Macaca fascicularis: one gene and its partners. The protein of the gene in region 3 purifies or fractionates together with the protein of the main gene of each other region. This does not show direct contact. Links are inferred from orthologs where the notes say so. Each region holds a gene or a part of one and is shown on either strand. Other genes may lie near its edges. The genes, in order: POLR3B, POLR2E and POLR3G.

Region 1 (6,955 bases), on a different chromosome or scaffold from region 3:
TTGCAATTTTTTCTTTCAACTCACTTACTCTACACAAATATATTCAGGAACAACTGATGGGTTAGAAGTTGGAAATACAAAGACAAACAAGATAGTTCCTGTACCAAGAGCTCAGTCTGGATAATTAGACACATAAAAAGAGGATATGGCATTGAGTGATAAGTCTTAGGTTAGTGATTTCCAATGCATAATCACTAGAAGGCAGCAGCAGGGAACTTACTAAAAATGCAAATTTGCAGTCCGGGTGTGGTGGCTCATGCCTGTAATCCTAGCACTTTGGGAGGCCAAGGCAGGTGAATCACCTGAGGTCAGGAGTTCAAGACTAGCCTGGCCAACATGGTGAAACCCCGTCTCTACTAAAAATAAAAGTTTAGCTGGGTGTGGTGGCACATGCCTGTAGTCCCAGCTACTAAGGCAGGAGAATCGCTTGAACCTCGGAGGCTGAGGTTGCAGTGAGCCAAGACCACGCTAGCTCATGCCTATAATCCCAGCACTTTGGGACGCCGAGGCAGGCGGATCACCTGAGGTCAGGAGTTTGAGACCAGCCTGGCCAATACAGCAAAACACCGTCTCTAAAAAAAAAAAAAAAAAAAAAAAAAAAAAAAAAAAAAATTTCCTAGGTATGGTGGCACGTGCCTGTAATCCCTGCTACTCGGGAGGCTGAGGCAGGAGAATCGCTTGAATCTGGGAAGGTGCAGTAAGCCAAGGTCATGCCACCGCACTCCAGCCTGGATGACAGAGTAAGACTCCATCTCAAAAAAAAAAAAAGCAAACTTTCAGCCCCAGTTTACCAATCAGAAAGCTGAGAATGGTTTAACAAGCTCTCCAGGTGATTCTAATACACCCTAAAGTTGGAGAACCACCTTGATAATGGAAAGCAAAGAAGACTTTGGCATAGACAACCAACACACTTGAGCCAACCTTGAGATCCTCTGCCATCTATAAATCACTTTCGCAGTCCCTTCCAGGCTAGATGCTAAATCGGTTGCAATCTGGTAATGCACAAGGATGAGACACAAGTTGTATCTTGTCTCCATAATAAGTAAATTGTAAGAACTTCAAAGGCAGGGCTGATTCTACTTTTGGTCTTTTTCCCATTCTTCTCAAATTTCAGATGTCAGTGCAACACGTAGAAAATACAAGTACTGAAATTTAAGTAGCTCTTTAGGAAATAAGAAGAATTAACCTGGTGCAAGGGTTCTACCTTTATGAGGGAGAAATTGGAAAGCATACATGTACTTACAAATTTTCATAGTTTTTCTTATTGTTCTAAAATATACATAAAACGTAGCATTTTAACCCTTTAAAATGATGTACAGGTCAGCAGCATTAAATACGTTCACATTGTTCTGCAACCATCACCTCTATCCATTTACAGAATTTTTGCATCTTCCCAAATCGAAACTCCGTACCCATTAATTAATTGGTGCACTTTGCCTTGTTTTTTCTAATAGGATTTTTCTTTCCATTGATTTGTATGAGCTCATTGTAAACTAGAGAGACCAGCCCTTTGTCTTCTGCCAATTTATTTTTTTATTAATTCTATTCATTGGCGATTTTAAAAATTCTGTTCAGAAAATTAAAAATTTTCCGTGGAATCATAAAATCGTGTTTAGAATTATACTATGAAATCCTTTATGACTTGAGTGTTGCTATCTTGAAAACTTTCATCATCTCAACGTTATGAATATCTGCACTTACATTTTCTTCTAAGTTTTTGTTAACATTTCAATATTTAATCCACAAAGGTTTCACTTACATGTGTTTTCCCCAAATGGGTAATCAGCTCTTCAAACATTATTTACTGGACAGGCCATCCTTCCCCTACTAACGTAAATGTCATCTTTTCATACTAAATTTCTCCATACACTGGTCTTTACTCCTACATCTTCCATCAGTGCTTTTGAGAATTTTGAACACTCTTCCATCACACGCATGTACCATCATTTATTTAATTTATCTCCTATTAGTAGGCATTTGGGACGTTTCCTGCTCTTCCATACTAAACAACGCATATAATTTTGGACTACATTAAACAATTCTCTGCCTCAGTGGTTCAAGTTGGGTAAATTATGCGTTTACACTTTTCTTCGGATTACTTTTAAAATGACAACCACTATGTTTTCCTGGTCTCAATTATCAGAGAATTGGCAAGAAACCTGACAGCTGGGGCTTAGGATTCCCCGCGCCAGACCTCTGAGCTACACCAGGAGGCGCAGTTTCCCTACTCGGCCTCGGCCACATCCGGGTTCCACCGCAGATTCGGGCAGGGAGCAGGCGGAACCTTTCTACCGCGTCTCTAGCTAACACGGCGGGGACAGTTTAGGCCTCCGCGCACCGTTCTCCGGGAGTCTTGCAGTTCGCTTGGTGCAGGGAAGGCGGGCGCGGAGGTTCTATCTGCTTCTTCCTCCTTCGTGAGCAGCATGGACGTGCTAGCGGAGGAGTTTGGGAACCTGACTCCGGAGCAGCTGGCTGCGCCGATCCCGACTGTAGAGGTGAGTGCCAGGCACTCATGGAGCGTCAGGGGCCTGGATGCGCCCTGAGGGGGCGTTGCCGGGAGTGCCGGGCCGCTAAGGGGCGGGCTGGAGGTTTGTGCGCATGCGCCGGGCATCTGCGCATGCTCAGAGCGTCGCGCGTGCCAGTCTTTTTCCAGAGCCGGCATCCGCGTGCGCGAGTGAAGGCTGAGCCCAGAGGAGCTGTCAGCCGCTGCAGGGGTCGAGAAGCCCCGCGGCTGGCTCTCGGGTTGGAGCTCTTCCGGCATAGGTGTGCGTGGGGAGGACTGGCCCTCGCACTTACTGTGGGGGACGTATTGCATGTTTGCAGTCTTACAAAGGACACTGGGGGCCAGGGAGCTCAGGCTGCTTGCATGAAGCACCGCAGCTGGCTGTGGGGGTAAAACCAGATCGTCTGAATTCCAAGCTAGTCATCTTGCCTTTTAACCTGAAGTTCAAGTTTGGGTTGCAGGGGAATTTTAAACGCCCTGAATATTTACTAAAGAATTTGCCTGTGTGTTTTCTCAGGGAGAGAGTCCATAGCTTTCATCAGATTCTCAGAAGTTAAGGACAGCTGTCTCACAGCGAGCTGCCCAATGAAGTATGGCTGTCGACATGTTTTGTTATCTGATAAGGCACATATCATAACCTCTCTGAGCCTCAAAATCTACACTGACGTGGAATAGGGAAGTGGAGACGTGGCCGGAGACGATAGCAAAGGAGAGATTTCAGGGAGAGAGAATAAGATACTTGAAACCTCCTCGGCAAGACCATTGGATGTTTTTGAGGAAGGAAAGTAAATCCAGTAGTATTCGAGTGAAGAAAAATAGAGGAGGAGAGATAAAAGACAGGGTTAAGTAAGGGTCTTGATTATGAAAAGTTTCAATAAACATCTGACAGAGCTTGGACTTTGTCTTGGAGCAGAGCTTTTGAAGGGTTTAAGCAGGAAAGTGATATAATGAGTAAATCTGTCGGATTATAGGAACCTCCTTGGCTAGGCGTGATGACTCACTCCGGTAATACCAGCAGTTTGGGAGGCCAAGGCGAGCGGATCACTTGGGCTCAAGAGTTTGAGACCAGCGTGGGCGACATGGCAAAACGCTATCTCTGCAAAAAATACAAGAATTAGCCGTGTGTGGTGCTGTGCACTTGTTGTCCCGGCAACTCAGGAGGCCGAGGTGGGAGGATCACTTGAGCCTGGAAGGTCGAGGCAGCAGTGAGCTGTGATTGTGCTACTGCACTCCAGCCTGGGTGACTGAATGAGACCTTGTCTTGAGGAAAAGAAAACAAAACCTCTTTATAATAATTTGACAAGTTAAGGAAATTGGATTAGCAGTTCGTCAGATTCAGTCTATGAGTGCATGCAATAGGCTGCTGATCTTCATCAGGTAAAACTGTGTGTGTGTGTGTGTTTTTTTTTTTTTTTGAGGTGGAGTCTCGCTCTGTCACCCAAGCTGGAGTGCTGTGGCGCGATCTCAGCTCACTGCAAGCTCCGCCTCCCAGGTTCACGCCATTCTCCTGCCTCAGCCTCCCGAGTAGCTGGGATTACAGATGCCCGCCATCATCCCCAGCTAATTTTTGTATTTTTAGTAGAGAAGGGGTTTCACTGTGTTAGCCAGGCTGGTCTCGAACTCCTAACCTCGTGATCCGCTACCTCGGCCTCCCAAAGTGCTGGGATTACAGGCGTGAGCCACCGCGCCCCGCTGCAAAACTGTATTTTAACCATGAAAAGTAAATATCAAGGAGCCAGCATTCCCTGAGCACTTGCTAATGTACCAGGCTCTGTTTAACCATAACATGCGTTATGTTATTTAATCCTCTGAAATAAGTGCTATTTTCACCCCCATTTTGCCAGAGAGGCCCAGAGATGTGAAGTAAATAGCCTTGCATTAGAAGGCTGGTAAGTGGCTAATCTGACTCTTGTCAGTCTGACTCTAGTCTTCATCCCTAACTGCTGATCGGATTGCTTCTCCAGAGAGCTGAAAAAATAAGCCTGGGAGAGTTCTATGTATTGTGTGAATTTACACAGCTATGAAGTGATCAGTGCTATAATTCCAGCCTTCTGATTCAAGAATAACAGTTCCTCTTCCTGCTCTCTGGATCCAGTCCACCATCACCTCTAAAAAGTCTTGAGTTCTTAATCTATGCTTATCTGAAACTTCATTCCCACTGTTTTCCAGCCCAGAACCACTCTCCTCTCTTACGTCCTAACTCTCCTACCTGGCACCTGACTTGTCCCAATCCAGTCTGTTCCTTGCTCTGCAGCCAGAGCTGTCCATCTAAACACACAAACATGGTTATGTTGCTCCCTTGGTTAAAATTCTTCAATCTCTGTTGCTTTTAGGGCAAAATCTAGTGTTTACCATGTTTGTAATAAATTTCCTCAGTCTGACCAGTAGTTACTTCTCTAGCGTCTTTTCCCATGATTCTCCCCTCTCCCTCCCTTGAGATCTTTCTACTCTGCTCGTACAATTCCTTCTGGATCACTCTCCCATTCCTATTTGTAGATTAAATCCCACATATCTATGATACAACTTCCCTAGGAAGGCCTTTCCTGAGTCTCCTAGAAGATGGTAGATCTCTACTACTTGCTGCCATTTCCTTTTAAATTGAGATATTAAAATATTTACTTAAACTTTCCAACTTCAGTGTTTTCTCTAAAACTTTTTCTAGATAAGAGCTCAGTTTTACTTGAACTGGCCATGCCTGGTGTGTATTTTTTTGTGCTTATGGTAGTACAGCAGCATGGTAGTATGGTAGAAATAACACAAGCTTTGGAGCCAATTAATCAGTTATTTGTTGAATAAATATTTATCAGTATTACTGAGTACTTACCTGGTGGTGTATTATTCACAGGGTTTATATAAGTTCAAAAAATGTGTCTTCTGCCTCCCAGTGTGTTATAGGCTTATAGAGAGAGACATGTAAGCAGGTGGAATAACATGCAATAGGTACTGTGATACAAGTAGGCGAGGGGTGTATTGGTATTACAAATGTAGCTGGGATGTGATGCCTGAACTGAGTTTGCCAGATGTGGATGAAGTGTGGTGGTGGGGAAGCATTCCAGATAGAAGGAGGAGGCGTGGGCACAAGTACAGCTGCAAGCACAGCGTGTGATGTATGCCTCACTGTGGGCTCGAGACATGGTGAAGAGGGTGGGGAGGCACTGAAGAGGTGTAGAGAATGAGGTGCTCAGCTGTGCACATGAGGACATGCACACTGGCTTTAGTGTGTTAGCATTGAAAGGGATGAGCAGAAAGATTAGAAAGGAAGTATTGCCGCAGTCCAGGTGAAAGATTACGAGGGCCTCAACTGGCACAGGAGCAGAGGATAAATGCGAGGAAGGTTACAAGGAGGTCAACTCAGTAGAATTTTTGTTTTCCTGTCGATTAAGAGAAGTCAGAAAGTTAGGACTACCGGGTATCTAATTTGGGATTGACTAGGATAAATGGTGATATTCACTGAGATTGGGAATGGAGCTGGGGGAAGATTTAATTTTGGATGTACTGAGTTTAAGTAGCCTCTGAGGATGTAAGGTATCACTGCGCAGTCAATAGTTGGAGGCGACAGGCCCATACCCAGTAGCTTACTGCAGCAGTGATATTCACTCACTCATTTATTTATTCATTCAGTATTTATTGGAGTCTTATATGTGCCAGGCACTGTGGTAAACAGGATAGACAGGGTCACTGCCTTTGAAAGAGCCCACATTTGGAAATGGGGGGCTGTGGGATGAGATGGGGGAAGCGAAACAACACTTTCAAACAGTGTTGTTTGAAATCCTCCATTCCCAACCCTACTTGAGAATGAGAAAAGACATCGCCAGGGATAGAACTTTGAAGAACACCAACGTTTACAGGTTGGCAGAGGAAAAGAGACGTGAGAAGGCCCGGCCAGAGGAAGGAAAGACATAAGAGAATGATGTCACAGGTCGTTATAAGACAGTGATTGGCATGGCCAGATACTGTGGAAAGGGAATGTGAGGGGGCATCAAGGGAGGTCTTTTGAAGTCACAGCCTTGGTGACCTCTGTCGAGCTGTTTCACTGGCAGGTAGGTCAGAGTCCTGACTATAATGGAATGAAGGAGTGGGAAGCGAGGAACGAGAAGCTAAATATGGGGTAATTTGGGAGAGGTCATAAGCTGAAGGGCAAGGAAGAAAGTAGTCAGAGGAGCTGCTGGGTCTTAAATTTTTTTTTGTTCTTTTTAAATGGGAAGATTTGAATAATTTACTAGTTTTAAATAGAACAGGTTGAATATCAACGACTGAACTGGGGCAAGGTTTACAGTCTTCAGGAGAAGGTTGGCAGGATTGTGTTCGTGGCAGAAGGGTTAGACTTAGACCAAGGAATGGATGGTCCTTCCTTTGAAATGGGAGGAAGCGAGCATGAGAAGGGGTGTAGAGAAAGGAATTTGAAGATGTGGGAGTATTAGCTCATAGGGCTGCCATAACATAGTAACCACC
Region 2 (7,071 bases), on a different chromosome or scaffold from region 3:
GACTACAGGTGCACCCACCATGCCCGGCTAATTTTTACATTTTTTTGTAGAAATAAGGTCTTCCTGGCCAGGTGTGGTGGCTCATGTCTGTTAATCCCAGCACTTTGGGAGGCCGAGGCAAACAGATCATCTGAGGTCAGGAGTTCGAGACCAGCCTGGCTAACACGGTGAAACCCCATCTCTACTAAAAATACAAAAAAATTAGCCAGGTGTGGTGGCTCACGCCTGTAATTCCAGCTACTCGGGAGGCCAACGCAGGAGAATCATTTAAACCCAGGAGGCAGAGGCTGCAGTGAGCCGAGATTATACCACTGTACTCCAACCTGGGTGACAGAGCGAGACTCGATCTCAAAAAAAAAAACAACTAAAAAAGAAATGGGGTCTTCCTATGTTGCCCAGGCTCGTCTCAAACTCCTGGCCTCAAGGTGAGAAAGAAAAGTTAGGTAGTTAGATAAGAAAGTTTGCACAAACCGGCCGGGCGCGGTGGCTCAAGCCTGTAATCCCAGCACTTTGGGAGGCCGAGATGGGCGGATCACGAGGTCAGGAGATCGAGACCATCCTGGCTAACACGGTGAAACCCTGTTCTACTAAAAATACAAAAAACTAGCCGGGCGAGGTGGCGGGCGCCTGTAGTCCCAGCTACTCAGGAGGCTGAGGCAGGAGAATGGCGTGAACCCAGGGGGCGTAGCTTGTAGTGAGCTGAGATCCGGCCACTGCACTCCAGCCTGGGCGACAGAGCGAGACTCCGTCTCAAAAAAAAAAAAAAAAAACAACAAAAAAAAAACTGGAAAACTACAACAAAGGGATCCTTCCCACTCAGCCTCCCAAAGTGCTGGGATTACAGGTGTGAGCCACTGTGCCCAATGGGATTTTTTTTTTTTTTTTTTTTTTTCTAGATGGAGACTTGCTCTGTCACCCAGGCTGGAGTGCAGTGGTGTGATCTCAGCTCACTGCAACCTCCGCCTCCTGGGTTCAAGCGATTCTCCTGCCTCAGCCTCCTGATTAGCCGGGACTACAGGTGACCACTGCCAAACCTGGCTAATTTTTGTATTTTTAGTAGAGACGAGGTTTCACCATGTTGGCCAAGCTGGTCTCGAACTCCTGACCTCATGATCTGCTCACCTCAGCCACCCAAAGTGCTGGGATTACAGGCATGAGCCACTACATCTAATGGGACTTTTGCTTGAATCTGTCCTCACTGTATTCCGTGACCTCCCCATTTGATACTACAGGTCTCTCCTTCTCCCCATGTCACTTAGCCTCTCTGCTCTTATTCCTTAGCTTTGTCACTTTCTAACGTTGTTATTTATTTATTTATTATTATATATATATTTTTTGAGAAAGAGTTTTGCCCTGTTGCCCAGGTTAGAGTGCAGTGATATGATCTTGGCTTACTGCAGACTCTGCCTGCCCGGGTGCAAGCGATTCTCCTGCCTCAGCCTCCCGAGTAGCTGGGATTACAGGTGCTCACCACCGCACCCAGCTAATTTTTGTAGTTTTTTTTGGGGGGTACGGAGTCTCGCTCTGTCGCCCAGGCTGGAGTGCAGTGGCCAGATCTCAGCTCATTGCAAGCTCCGCCTCCCGGGTTCATGCCATTCTCCTGCCTCAGCCTCCTGAGTAGCTGGGACTACAGGCGCCCGCCACCTCGCCCGGCTAGCTTTTTGTATTTTTTAGTAGAGATGGGGTTTCACTGTGTTAGCCAGGATGGTCTTGATCTCCTGACCTCATGATCCGCCCATCTCGGCCTCCCAAAGTGCTGGGATTACAGGCTTGAGCCACCGCGCCTGGCCAATTTTTGTAGTTTTTAGTAGAGACAGGGTTTCACCATCTTGGCCAGGCTGGTCTCGAACTCCTGACCTCATGATCCACCCACCTTGGCCTCCCAAAGTGCTGGGATTACAGGCATGAGCCACTGCGCCTGTCCTATTTATTTATTTATTTATTTATTTATTTATTTATTTATTGAGACAGAGTCTCACTCTGTGGCCCAGGCTGGAATGCAGTGGCGCGATCTCGGCTCACTGCAACCTCCCCCTTCCAGGTTCACGAGATTCTCCTGCGTCAGCCTCCCGAGTAGCTGAGACTACGGGCACCTGGCCCAGCTAATTTTTTGTATTTTTAGTAGAGATGGGGTTTCACCGTGTTAGCCAGGATGGTCTCGATCTCCTGATCTCGTGATCTGCCCACCTCAGCCTCCCAAAGTGCTCGGATTACAGGCATGAGCCACTGCGCCCAGTAACGTTATTTTACTAAATCCTGTCTCTGAATGCAAGGGATACCTGGCCTGTTTTTATTCACCATCACTGTAGGTTGCTGAGTAAATGCTGAATTAATGAATGCGTCACTGAGTCAGTGACTGATTGCCTTCACACAGCGAGTGCTGGGCTGGGATCCTCCGTGAATCTGGGGAGGTGAGGTTTGCAAAGACAGGACGGATCTGGGGTGGGGAGATACCCAGGCTAGGCTGGCACTCAGGGGAGAGGACAGAGGTGAAGGGACTTAAAAAGCACCTAGAGATATGCCTAGCTCTACCTAAGACTCTCAGTTAACCGCCTAAAGTAGGGACACTTTTTGCCATTGCACAGGTAGGGAAACTGAGGCCCAAGGGCATTAACCCTGACCTGGCCTGGAGCCAACAGAGGAAACCCTGTACAGTTTGATGCACAAATATGTATAGAGTTCCCACTAGGCTCCCCGACCGTCCCTAGGAGCCGAGCTGCCCCTTTACCCATTCCAGGCCTCAGTTTCCCCGCCCACACTTCGCCCCCGCCTTATGGGATTCTAAACTGTCCCCGCAACGTGGGAGTTGAACGGAAACTACAACTCCCAAGAGGCCGTGCAGCCAAAGACACACGAGAACTACGGAGGGAGAGTCTCGCGCAGCAAACTGCCGTTCTCGCAAGGCTCGGGCTGCCCTTGGCGCTGCCGATCCCGGAAGTTGCTGCATTCAGGCGTTCGCCGACGACAGCCCATCGCGGGGCGGGGTTACGTGGAGGGGGCCTGATTGGGAGTCGGCGCAGGCGCAGTCCGCGCGGGTTCTCGCAGGCAAAACGGGTGCGAGTGGCGGCGATGGACGACGAGGAGGAGACGTACCGGCTCTGGAAAATCCGCAAGACCATCATGCAGGTGAGCCGCGCGTGGTGTTGGGGGCGGGGGCGCGAGCAGCAGGTGCAGGGGCCCGAGGGGAGGTCGAGCTCGGCGTCTCCTCGTACTCCCGTCGCAGCAGCAGCAGCGACGGAGGGCCCGGCCGACACGGGAGACCCCGAGGCCGCCGGGGATCCCAGGCGCTGGGCCCGACCTGAGCCGGCAGCGGGGAAGGGAGGGGGTTTCGAGACGTCTGGGTGCGGGGCTTAGCGGTGGGCGGGCGGCTTGGGCTGGTGCGGCGCACATGGCGGCGAGAGGAGGAAGGTGCGAATGGGGACGGGGGGCGCCCCCAGACCCTGCCCCACTCTGTGATTCAGCGTCGCCATTTGTCCTTGCGCCCTGAACCCCAGGGCGTCTCAGCATCCGAGGCTGGCGGAGTTGGTGGTTGGGAAGCAGCAGGCGAGCTGGGGCTTTCGATGGGGACGTGGAGCCCGGAACCCGTGCCTCGGGGTCTGAGACAGATGGAGGCCACTGGGCCGACTCCGGTTTGGAAACTGGGCAAATGTCTGAGGGCCTGCGGTTCAGGGTCCTCCCTCAGCCGTTGGGGCCGTTTGGGAGCTTTTGTTTTGTCTTGCTTCCCCACCCTATGCCCTTGTCTTTAGCGCAGCCCCCCGCAGCCTGATTCTCCTTCCTCCGGGCCGCAAACATTGTCAGCCTGAAGTCACATCTGTTTCGGTCCCTGTCTTTTTTTTTTTTTTTTTTAAGAGACAAGCTCTCACTCTGTCGCCCAGGCTGCAGCGCAGTGGTGCAGTCATAGCTCACTGCATCCTTGAACTCCTGGCCTCAAGCAGCCCTCCTGCCTCGGCCTCCCTGAGCTCTGGGGTCGCGGACGTGACCCCCCACGCCCCGTCTTTGTCCCTGTCTTTAGGGTAGCTCTGCAAAGTGGTTTGGAGGGCTTTGCCCCCTGCCAGGTTCCTGTGAGGCTGGATAGACGGACGGTCTTGGTCAAGGCTGGACACCTCTGCGAGCCTCTCGGGATCACGCTGGTCCCATCCTGTGGTGTGGGGCTGTGGGGGCCAGGATGGCTGTCATGGGGCACACAGCGAGTGTTCATTCCGTTTGCTGTTCACCTCTGTCCTCTGCAGCAGCCGCAGGTCTGACTTCTGGGTCACGAGCTCTGGCCGCCTTCCTGTCTCTGCCCTGGGGTCAGCTGGTTCTTTCTCTCTGCAGCTGTGCCACGACCGTGGCTACCTAGTGACCCAGGACGAGCTTGACCAGACACTGGAGGAGTTCAAAGCCCAATTTGGAGACAAGCCGAGTGAGGGGCGGCCGCGGCGCACTGACCTCACCGTGCTGGTGGCCCACAACGATGACCCCACCGACCAGATGTTTGTGTTCTTTCCAGGTGAGCAGCGGGTCCCCGGGGGAGTTCTGGTGGAGCCGCCCGAGCACCTGCTGAGGAGCCGGCCGCTAGCACCCCCTCCCTCCCGCCTCGTGCCCAGCGTTTGATCCTCTGCCCAATCTGGGAGGAAAACTTCCCCTCCTCTTCCTTGCTGTGGGCGATGCCGTGGACCTCTGACCCCTCTCATGCGCAGCCTCTTTCTGGTTTCCCTCTCATCGGTCCCCTTTCTTCCTGCCAACCAGGAGAGTCCCATGGACCTCCCTACTCACCCGCAGCCCCTCATGACCTTTGCCCTACCTGTGTTCCTTGGCTCCCTCATCCTGGCCGTTGGGTGCACTTCCAACTTCTTGGCCTGGCCCAGGAGGCCCCGTGTGGGTCAGCGCAGCCTCCTTGTGAGCTGTGGCCCCTGTCTGCCCCAGCCCATTCCTCTGCACCCCATGCCGCCTCTGCCCTGTCAGCGTCCGCTACTCATCCCTCGAGGTTGTGCTCAGGCCGCTTTTCCCGGGACCCCTGGGACCCTCGGTTTCAGCACCTGCACCGTGGAAGTCTCCCCACCTGTCTGCCCCCCCAGGATGGCTCTAGCGCCCTCAGTGGTTGGGGGACTACCAGCGCCTAGGGACACAGCCGCGTGCCCAGAATTAATCAGTGGGGTGGACGGAGCGTGTCTGCCAAGCGGGTGATGCTACTGCTTTTTTTTTTTTTGAAAGTCTCATTCTGTCACCCAGGCTGAAGTGCAGTGGTGCCATTTCGGCTCGCTGCAGCCTCCACCTCCTGAGTTCAAAATTCTCCTGCCTCAGCTTCCTGAGTAGCTGAGACTGCAGGCACCCACCACCATACCTGGCTTTTTTTTTTTTTTTTTTGTATTTTTGGTAGAGAGGGGGTTTCACCATGTTGGCCAGGCTGCTTTCAAACTCCTGACTTCAGGTGATCTGCCTGCCTCGGCCTCCCAAAGTGCTGGGATTACAGGCGTGAGCCACCGCGCCCGGTCTTCTTCTTGTTCTTTTTTTTTTGAGGCTGAGTCTCTCTCTCTGTCGCCCAGGCTGGAGTGCAGTGGCGCAATCTCGGCTCACTGCAACCTCCACCTCCTGGGTTGAAGCAATCCTCCCACCTCAGCCTCCCACAAAAAGCTAGGTTTACAGGCATACACCATCTCACCTGGCTACTTTTACTTTTTTTAGTAGTGTTTATTTATTTGTTTATTTGGTTTTTTGAGACGGAGTCTCGCTCTGTCGCCCAGGTTAGAGTGCAATGGCACAATCTTGGCTCACTGCACGCTCCTTCTCCCGGGTTCACACCATTCTCCTGCCTTAGTCTCCAGAGTAGCTGGGACTACAGGTGCCCGCCACCACGCCCAGCTAATTTTTTGTATTTTTAGTAGAAACGGGGTTTCACCGTGTTAGCCAGGATGGTCTCGATCTCCTTACATTGTGATCCGCCTGCCTCAGCCTCCCAAAGTGCTGGGATTGCAGGTGTGAGCCACCGTGCCTGGCCAATTTTTTGTACTGTTAATAGAGATGGGATTTCACGATGTTGGCCAGGCTGGTTTCGAACTCCTGACCTCAAGCAATCCACCTGCCTCAGCCTCCCAAAGTGCTAGGGTTACAGGTGTGAGCCACTGCACCCGGCCTCAGGTGATGCTTCTTAAAGAGAGCATCCTGGGGTGTGAGATGTGCTTGTTGGACAGGTGGGTGCTGAGTCACCCCCCCTCCCCAGGACTGCCCGGGGTGGGAGCCTCTCAGAGTTGAAGGTCTCTGCCTCTCACTGGTCTCTGGGTGACTGAGGGGTGTCAGGCCCCCGTCCTTGTCTCTAGGTGAATGAGGTTTCAGCCCTTTCTTCCCCTGTCCTGGGATCCTGCAACTCAGGTCTCGTTTTGCAAACGTGGAAGCTGAGGTCTGAGCAGGAGAAGCGCCTGTGTGGAATGGGGCTGGAACCCAGGTGCTCTGTGGTCTGGGTGGGCGAAGGCCGGGAGGGCCCAGGGTGGTGCAGGCCAGCACATTTTCTGTCTGCAGAGGAGCCCAAGGTGGGCATCAAGACCATCAAGGTGTACTGCCAGCGCATGCAGGAAGAGAACATCACGCGTGCCCTCATCGTGGTGCAGCAGGGCATGACGCCCTCCGCCAAGCAGGTGGGCACCCCCCACCCCGCCCTTCCAGCCTCTCGCCCTCCCCAGCCTCCTTCCCCGAGCAGCGCCCACAGGCGGCTCACGTGCCTGGGGCCAGGCCCGTCAGGGTGCCCTGGAGGATGTGGCCCGGATGTCTGACAAGCCCTGACCGCCTCCCTCCCACCCCGTCCATGGCCCCACTGCTGAACCCCAGCCCCACCCCAGGCGCTGCCGTCCTCCCCTGGCGCTCGGGAGGGGCGTAAGGGCGGAGGGCGCTGTGCCTCTGTCGCCAGTGCCTGTGTGCCGCAGCCCTCGGCCTGGCGCAGCTTGCGGGAGCCGGAGGTTCCTTGTCCTGAGCCAATGTCCAGGGGGACATGCAGAGGAGGCCCGGCACGGGGCGTGTTCCCCGTCTGTGTATCGGACACTCCTGAGCCAGGCTGCCGTGCTGTGATGGGCAGTCAGCAGAGCGGTTTAGTCCCTGGCC
Region 3 (7,057 bases):
ATTGTATGCATTTATCAAAATATCACACGTACCTCACAAGTAATTACAACTATTAGGTATCAATTTAAAAAAAGAAGGGGGGACAAGAAGGCTGCTTGCAGCACATGCATGGGGCCTGGTGACTGAGGCTTCACAGTAGAGAAAGAGGCCAGGATTTCTTAGGTATTCCTCTACATTGGTATCTTCGTCTTTCCTCTAGGAGGCAGATTCCCTAGATAACATTTTTCTAATTTCCTACCTGGGTGGGGAAAGGCCTGGCTCTCATCCTTCTGGGAAACTAGTAGGACGGACACACACACACACAAACACACTCTTTCTTTCTCCTGTTTTCCATACTGAGCCCTTAAGCTCAATAGTAATTTGGCATCCTTCAATCAAGAAACTCCTTTGTTTTACTATCCCTAGAGAATAAACTAATTGGATGGGAGCGGGAGGGGCATTCACTAGAGTTTTAAGAGCTTCTTAAAAGGTTTTCAGGAAATTCTACTTACTCTTCTTCCCTTTGCCGCCACTGAGGTACTGCCTATTGCTAATTCCTGTGTTTTTTAAGGCTTCTGCGGTGGAAACTGAATTGGCTCTTAATTTCCCTTTGCTGGCATAGTATAAAACTGTTAACTTAGTCACCACATCTACTTTCTAGCATCCGAAACAGTTCCCCCAGCCAATGGGGATTTACATTTAAATCACGGTTTCTTTACAGTACATTAATGGTGCTTCGGAAGAGAGCCAAATTAGATGTGTCTGTTCAATTCACCACCTTCCTACAACCTGTTTTAGCCTCTGCAAATGACTTAAGTCCGCCTGAAATCACGCCTCTGAGATATCTTGGTGACACTGGGCATATGGTTTAAACATGTATGTAATAGGGATCACAATGCCAGAACTTTGTATCACTTTAGTGAAAAATGGGCAAAATGATGTTTGCCCACTCAAGAGGTATGTGCTATGTCAATTTAGGGTCTACTGCTATCTTAGAGGAAGATAACCATTTCACTATTAATAAGGCGAGTTGCTTTTTCATCCAGATAATGCACTGGATTATATGGCTATTCTCTCCTTGTCCCTCATTTACAAGTTGGCTTTTGGGTTAGAGATACAGTGCACAGATTTTTGCTTCTCCATGACAAGCAATCATCAATTCATTAAAGGAAATGTAATAAATGATTTCAGCTCCTTGCATTCTACCAAAGCAATGAATACTTTATGCTGTTCATGTGTGTAACTGTATACAAATTTTTAATACAAATATTTTATGTATCCTCCCAGGCATCTGGATTATGTTAACAGCAAGTTAGCAGGCCACATCATTCAGAAGATATGGGAAATTAATATTCTTGAGAAGAGAGGAAAGTAGACACTGCTTGAGAGGGTGGGGCATCCAGCTCCTCATGAAAAACAACTTTTGATAACACAGTACTATCACCTTCAAAGTGTCTGGTAAACATTAAGCTTTCTTTTCACCCTTTTAAAGGCTTAAAGTACCACACAAGTAGTTTGCAGGCCCCTTTCAGCTCCCAAAATGTTAGGATTCTACCATCAACTGGTAAACCTGGGTTCTAGTCCCAGCTCTTTCCGAGATGGGTGATGTGACCTCTTGCATGATACTCAGGCCTACATGGGTTCTTTCTTCATCTATAAAACAATCCCTATCATTCTTTCACCTTTGATTTCCCATTGCTGATACAGAATCAAAAGTCAATTTCAAAAGTAATTTATTCTTTTCAATAATTTAAGTATATTTTAATACTAATGTAAACATTTTTGGTCCGGGTGTCAGAATTTAGTCTGAATACCCATCAACTGCATGGAAATCTTACCCCTAAAAGTACCCATTTTTGTCAAGAAATACAGTAATTAGGTGTGACTTTAATGTAAATTAAAATTTAATGTACATGTACTTTCATCTCATATTGTCAGATAATGTAAGACTCCCATCTAAACCAGTTTTTTTTTTTTTTTTAATTTTAGATTTAAAACTTTAATGAAGACTTTTGTTGGGTGGGGTTGAGGTACAGAATCTTGCAATTTTTTTTTTTTTAGCACCGATAAGTAATACAATATAATACTGCAATTTTTAAAATATCTCAAATGAGTAAGATGTCATCTGTGAGATAAACTGATTTTTGTAAAATATTTCATTATTTGCCATATTGTTTGGTCATAAAGTGAGCTTCACTATACTGCAGCAACTGGCTTTTTCTACTATATAGAGGCATGTTTTAATAAACCAAATTGGTAATTAAAATAGTCTCACACTAAAGGAAAGAAGGGGCCTTTCACATTCTACTCAGAATTATCATCATATATTTATGAGGTAGGATTTATGTACGTTCTGCATGCCTTGATCTATTGTGCCTAGATTCATATCCTAGCTTTTATCATGATCTGTCTCAGGCAAGCCATTTAACTGGGAGGTCAGTGGCCTCACTTTAAATGTGTTGTGAGGATAAAATGAAATCAAAAGTATACTAAAAAGAAAATAGAAAACTAATATACCAAATATTGCTGATGTGGCAAATTAGCTCAATTATTTAAGTCCTTGCGTAGGGAAATGGGCTGAGGCCCTAATCTATTTATTTTCATCCCATGGATTTCTCTCTGAATTCCATATTTGTCTTTCACAGAGCCAAAGAGGACCATGGCTACCTATGCATTAGTCCACATAATTTACCTCTACCGAAAATTACTTCCTTATTGATCTTTCTCAGGCTTTGCTTTCAGCCGGACCAGATACCTGTCATAAAGTTATTCTACGTTTATGATTACTATTAAGCTTTTGCAATCGTGAGTCAACATCAAGAACAGAAACCTATCTGAGAGGTTTCCAATCGCATTAGCGGATTGGAATCGCTGCTCTGATGACTTTCTAAGGCTACAGGTGGGAACTGCCCATACCCGGTGGTGACCAAGCTGATGAAGTCTGCAGTTCTCAAAAGCACAGATCATGACATGCACTCCCCGTGGGGCGTCATTCCTTAAAAGTCTACTCACTACGAAAGCTCCTGGAAATGTCGGGTAGGTGCTTAGGGAAAGAATAAGAAATCCCTAGTCAGTCACAAGTCTCTGTAGTGTTACTACTACAGCCGACTCAGGAAACTGGCTAGGGAGGGGTAGTGCCGGCTTTCAAAGAAGTACTCAGAATTGCTATACGGTGCCAGAGCTGGCCTCTGGCAGGGAAGGCTGTGATGGCTTTGGCTCTGGTCAAGTAGGTTTTTACTTAGGGAAGGGTGTAACAGAAGTGGTTCCGCGAGGTGCCAAAATAATCCCCTTTATGGCCACGCAAGTCTGCAACATGCGGCACTCGGACAGTCTCTTCCCAATACCCTCCCTTAACGAGAGCGCGCGCCCGCGGGGGCCCATTACCATCCTGCAGGATGAGGGTGGGCTGCACCGCCTGTACCCGGAACTGTCTGGCCCTCCAGCCGGGGCTGGGCGCCCGCACCACCTCGCTATCGGAGAGCCAGGTCACGGTCTCAAAGTTGTCCCCGCGAGCCAGCGCCTCGGCCTCGGCGTGGTGCACGGCCACCCGGTCGAACTGGTAGAGGCCGCCGGAGTGGTCGAAGTGCACGTGGGTGGCCACGGCAAGCAGCGGCCGGCGCGCCGCGTCCTCTTTGGCCCCGCGGTCCTGCAAGAGGCCGGAAGAGTACAGGTACTCAGGGAGGCTGCGCAGCCCCAGGCCTGTATCGATCACCACGTCCTGCTCGGAGCCGCGCACCAGCCAGATGTTGGCACGGTTGCCCGACTCGTAGAAGCGTTCTTGAATCCAGAAAATACCATCGCCTAGAGACTTGTGGGCGTACCACTCGAGCGCCGACATGCTGGGCAGGGATGCAGCCAGGCGGGGTGAGTGTGGGCGTGCGAGTCTCCCACAGGCTGTGTAAACACCGGGCGCTGCGGCTGTGTGGAGCCGTCTGCCTGCAGCCAGGGAGGAGGCGTTGAGTGAGGCGGGGGCGGGGGATGCGGGAGTCAGAATAGGAGGAGGAAGGACGCAGACCGACGCTGCCAGTAGCGTGCGCTCTCGTACCCTCCCGCCAGGTCGGCAGCAAGCAGAGACTGCGCCACCAGCACGGGGGCGCAGGAGCTACAGCAGCCTCGGCAGGCGCACCACGAGGGAGCTGTAACGCAGGGACCACTGCAGCAGAATGGAGACTCAGGTGGTGACCCTTTCGCCACCCCGGGCGTGTGACAGCAGAGGCCCGGAGCAAGGGTGGGAAGCGCTAGGACCGCCCACCCACTGGCTCCCCACAGCGCGCACTCCTAGCTGGCGCGGAAAGTGTGGGGCCTAGCAGGTTGTACGGAGCCTACGGAGCCTGCCAAGGGCAAAAAAGCTCTTTGCCGAGGGGGTGGGGCCTGCCTAGGGAGTGGGCGGGGCTAGTTGGTAGGGCTCACGCCGCGGTCCTGGGGCCGCGTGGAGGGCGGTGCGAGTTTCTCCTGAGGTGGAACGAACGGCACTCGAGCGCCGGTGTTCTCTGCCAGCACCCCTTACTTGCCGGCCGGCGCTTCGGCTGCAGAGTTTTGCCCAAGCTTCGAGACTTAGGGAACAGGTAACCGAGGAAGCAATCGAAGACTTGGGAGGGGTGGTGAGGGTAGAGGGGAGTTAAAGGGGCATGTGGAGAAGTTGTGGGGGAAGTCGGGGGTAGAGATTCATTAAAGCGCCTCTGGGTTGAGGGGTGTTTGGAGATAGCTTGGTACCTCCCCTCCTTGTCCTGCTCCCTTCAGAATTTTTTTAAGTCGAATTTCCAGATCTTACCCAGTCTCCACTCCTGGGACTGTTTGCAGTGAGTTAGAAGGGTATTTATGCTCTTACTGATAGTAGGTTATTTTCCAAATCCAGTGACTTTATGATTTGTTGAGGCACTAGTCATTGCCGCAGATTGCAGCTAAGGACCGACTGTTCAGTATCTGTTTTCGTAACTGTTGGCATTTTATATCGTAGGGAAGGAAGTTGTTAATATGGTTTGTCTTTTCTTCTAAAAAATAAAATTCTGTATCCACCCTCTTTTTTTTTTTTTTTTGATTTGGTCTGTCCTTGGAAGAGAGAAACGCGAGTTGGTAGAAAGGCTCAAATAGAGAAAAGGAGCACCTGGTAAGGACGGGAAAAGTGAATAATGACTGGGTGTGGCCCCGCCAGCCTCTTAAATCATCCGCTCTGTTAACATCAGGTCACTGTCTCCACTCCCCACTTCCCAGCTATTGAAGCATCTATTTAGGTTTTTTTTTTGTTTTTTGTTTTTTTGAGACAGAGTCTCTATTGCCCAGGCTGGAGTGCAGTGGCGCAATCTCGTCTCACTGCAACCTCCGCCTCCTGGGTTCAAGCGATTCTCCTGCCTCAGCCTCCCAAGGAGCTGAGATTACAGGCGCCCGCCACCGCACCCGGCTAATTTTGTATTTTTAGTAGAAATGGGGTTTCACTATGTTGACCAGGCTGGTCTTGAACTCCTGACCTCAAGTGATCCGCCTGCCTCGGCCTCCCAAAGTGCTGGGATTACAGGCGTGAGCCACTGTACCCGGCCAGAAACATCTATTTAGGCTTAAGAAATTCCCTTGAGAACTTGACTAACCTCCCAACTTAGCCAGGAAAAATGATAAGGAGACTCATGAGACAGCATTACAAAAGAATTATGAAAACCGTTACTGTGACAACTACTAATAAGCCTTCATGGAAGGAGAGGTATACGCTCTTTTGCTACCCTCCTGAAGTCTTTGGTGGGCATGCAGCTTTTCTAAATACTTTGCTAATCTTGGTAGAGATTATTCGGTTACTCAGTTGGGGGCTATCCTTATGCACAAGTCGCTGAGCTAGATAATTCATGAGAGAATTGTGTAAAAAGGTCATAATCTGGATTCTCAGGAGTTTGAAGGAAGATAATGTCTGTACACAATTACTTGGAAGATAAAGCATTACAGGGTATGTACCACAGAGACAGTAAAAACTAGATTCAATAAGAATACAGATGGAAGGGATTCTTGAGGAGTGGCTTTTGAGCTGGCCTTAAAAGACTACTTTTAGGGCATTCTCAGCAGAGTAATATAGGGCCCTCAGTAGTCTGGGTACTTTTTCTCTAGGCAGAAGTGAGCCACTAGTGGTGAAATGGAGTGATATCTCTACCAGGCCATGAGCTCAGCAATAATTTGCACAATAATCATTGGCCTTTTGCCGGGCTTTGGTTAGTAATGGGGACATAAAAAGGAGAATAAGTTTCCAAGGAGACTTTCACACTTCCAGGTCCCTCTGCCTGCATCCCACATCTCACTGGATATCCTTTTTTAATTCTTTGCATGGCTCTTTGCTTTACTTTTGTCAGGCTTATGCTCAGATATCACTGAATAAGAGAAGACTTCTTCAGCCACCTTTTCCACAATAGCATCCATGTTTCCTGTCTTTATTTTTCTTCTTGTCACTTCCTGACTTTCCTATAAAATATATTTTGTCAGTTTCTTACCTCAGACTCTGAGCTTCATGAGAGGAGAGATTTTGTTTTGCTCACTACTGTATTCCCAATTCATAGAAGACAGCCTGATGATGAGGGTGCTTAATAAATACTTGATTGGATTGAAGAGCCTCCCTGGGAGACAGATAAGAGCTGACAGTTACAACATGATTGTAAAAAGGGCTTAAAAGCAGAGTAGTACTTGGGAAACAGAGAAGGGAGAGGCCTATCTCCATGTAGGGTGGAAGAAATTGTCATGGAGAAAGTGTTATTTGCATGGCATCTGAAAAGAACCTGGGGCTTAGGTGGATGTGGCAGGAAGGGCACTCCAGGCATGCACTGGTTGATTTGGCCACAGCGTGGGGTGCATGTAGTGAGAGGCAGAAAGACTCCAAAGCTCTTTTAAGGAGAGTCACATGTCAAGATTTGTATTCCAGAAAGATACCCTAGACTGCAGAGTGGATTGAAAGGGAGAGTCTGGCCACAGGAAGTTTATTTGTTCTGTTTTAGAGGTCCAGGTGAAAGATGAGAGGGTCTGAACTGAAGCAGAGGTGGAAGAAACGGAACATGGGAGAGAGAACAGAGCTGGTAAACCTCTACTTTTAGATGGGGGATTGGAAGTAGAC

The links.
Region 1: the proteins of POLR3G (region 3) and POLR3B fractionate together in Homo sapiens (co-fractionation; 4 studies listed by BioGRID and IntAct, with this or other methods). This does not show direct contact. The link is inferred for Macaca fascicularis from reciprocal best matches to the Homo sapiens genes POLR3G and POLR3B.
Region 2: the proteins of POLR3G (region 3) and POLR2E purify together in Homo sapiens (affinity purification with mass spectrometry; 3 studies listed by BioGRID and IntAct, counting the BioPlex papers as one, with this or other methods). This does not show direct contact. The link is inferred for Macaca fascicularis from reciprocal best matches to the Homo sapiens genes POLR3G and POLR2E.

The regions. Positions count from the first base shown.
Region 1 is NC_088385.1:113,276,994-113,283,948, forward strand, and holds the start of POLR3B (DNA-directed RNA polymerase III subunit RPC2), read left to right. Parts: upstream 1-2,348; 5' UTR 2,349-2,423; coding exon 2,424-2,495; intron 2,496-2,651; exon of another isoform or gene 2,652-2,763; intron 2,764-6,955. UniProt on the Homo sapiens protein: Catalytic core component of RNA polymerase III (Pol III), a DNA-dependent RNA polymerase which synthesizes small non-coding RNAs using the four ribonucleoside triphosphates as substrates.
Region 2 is NC_088393.1:1,664,697-1,671,767, reverse strand, and holds the start of POLR2E (DNA-directed RNA polymerases I, II, and III subunit RPABC1), read left to right. Parts: upstream 1-3,024; 5' UTR 3,025-3,069; coding exon 3,070-3,126; intron 3,127-4,314; coding exon 4,315-4,489; intron 4,490-6,495; coding exon 6,496-6,611; intron 6,612-7,071. UniProt on the Homo sapiens protein: DNA-dependent RNA polymerase catalyzes the transcription of DNA into RNA using the four ribonucleoside triphosphates as substrates.
Region 3 is NC_088380.1:94,474,443-94,481,499, forward strand, and holds the start of POLR3G (DNA-directed RNA polymerase III subunit RPC7), read left to right. Parts: upstream 1-2,887; 5' UTR 2,888-3,015; intron 3,016-3,363; coding exon of another isoform or gene 3,364-3,817; exon of another isoform or gene 3,818-3,913; intron 3,914-4,020; exon of another isoform or gene 4,021-4,544; intron 4,545-5,036; exon of another isoform or gene 5,037-5,086; intron 5,087-6,946; exon of another isoform or gene 6,947-7,019; intron 7,020-7,057. Other genes in the region: acyl-coenzyme A thioesterase MBLAC2, read right to left, coding at 3,364-3,817. UniProt on the Homo sapiens protein: DNA-dependent RNA polymerase catalyzes the transcription of DNA into RNA using the four ribonucleoside triphosphates as substrates.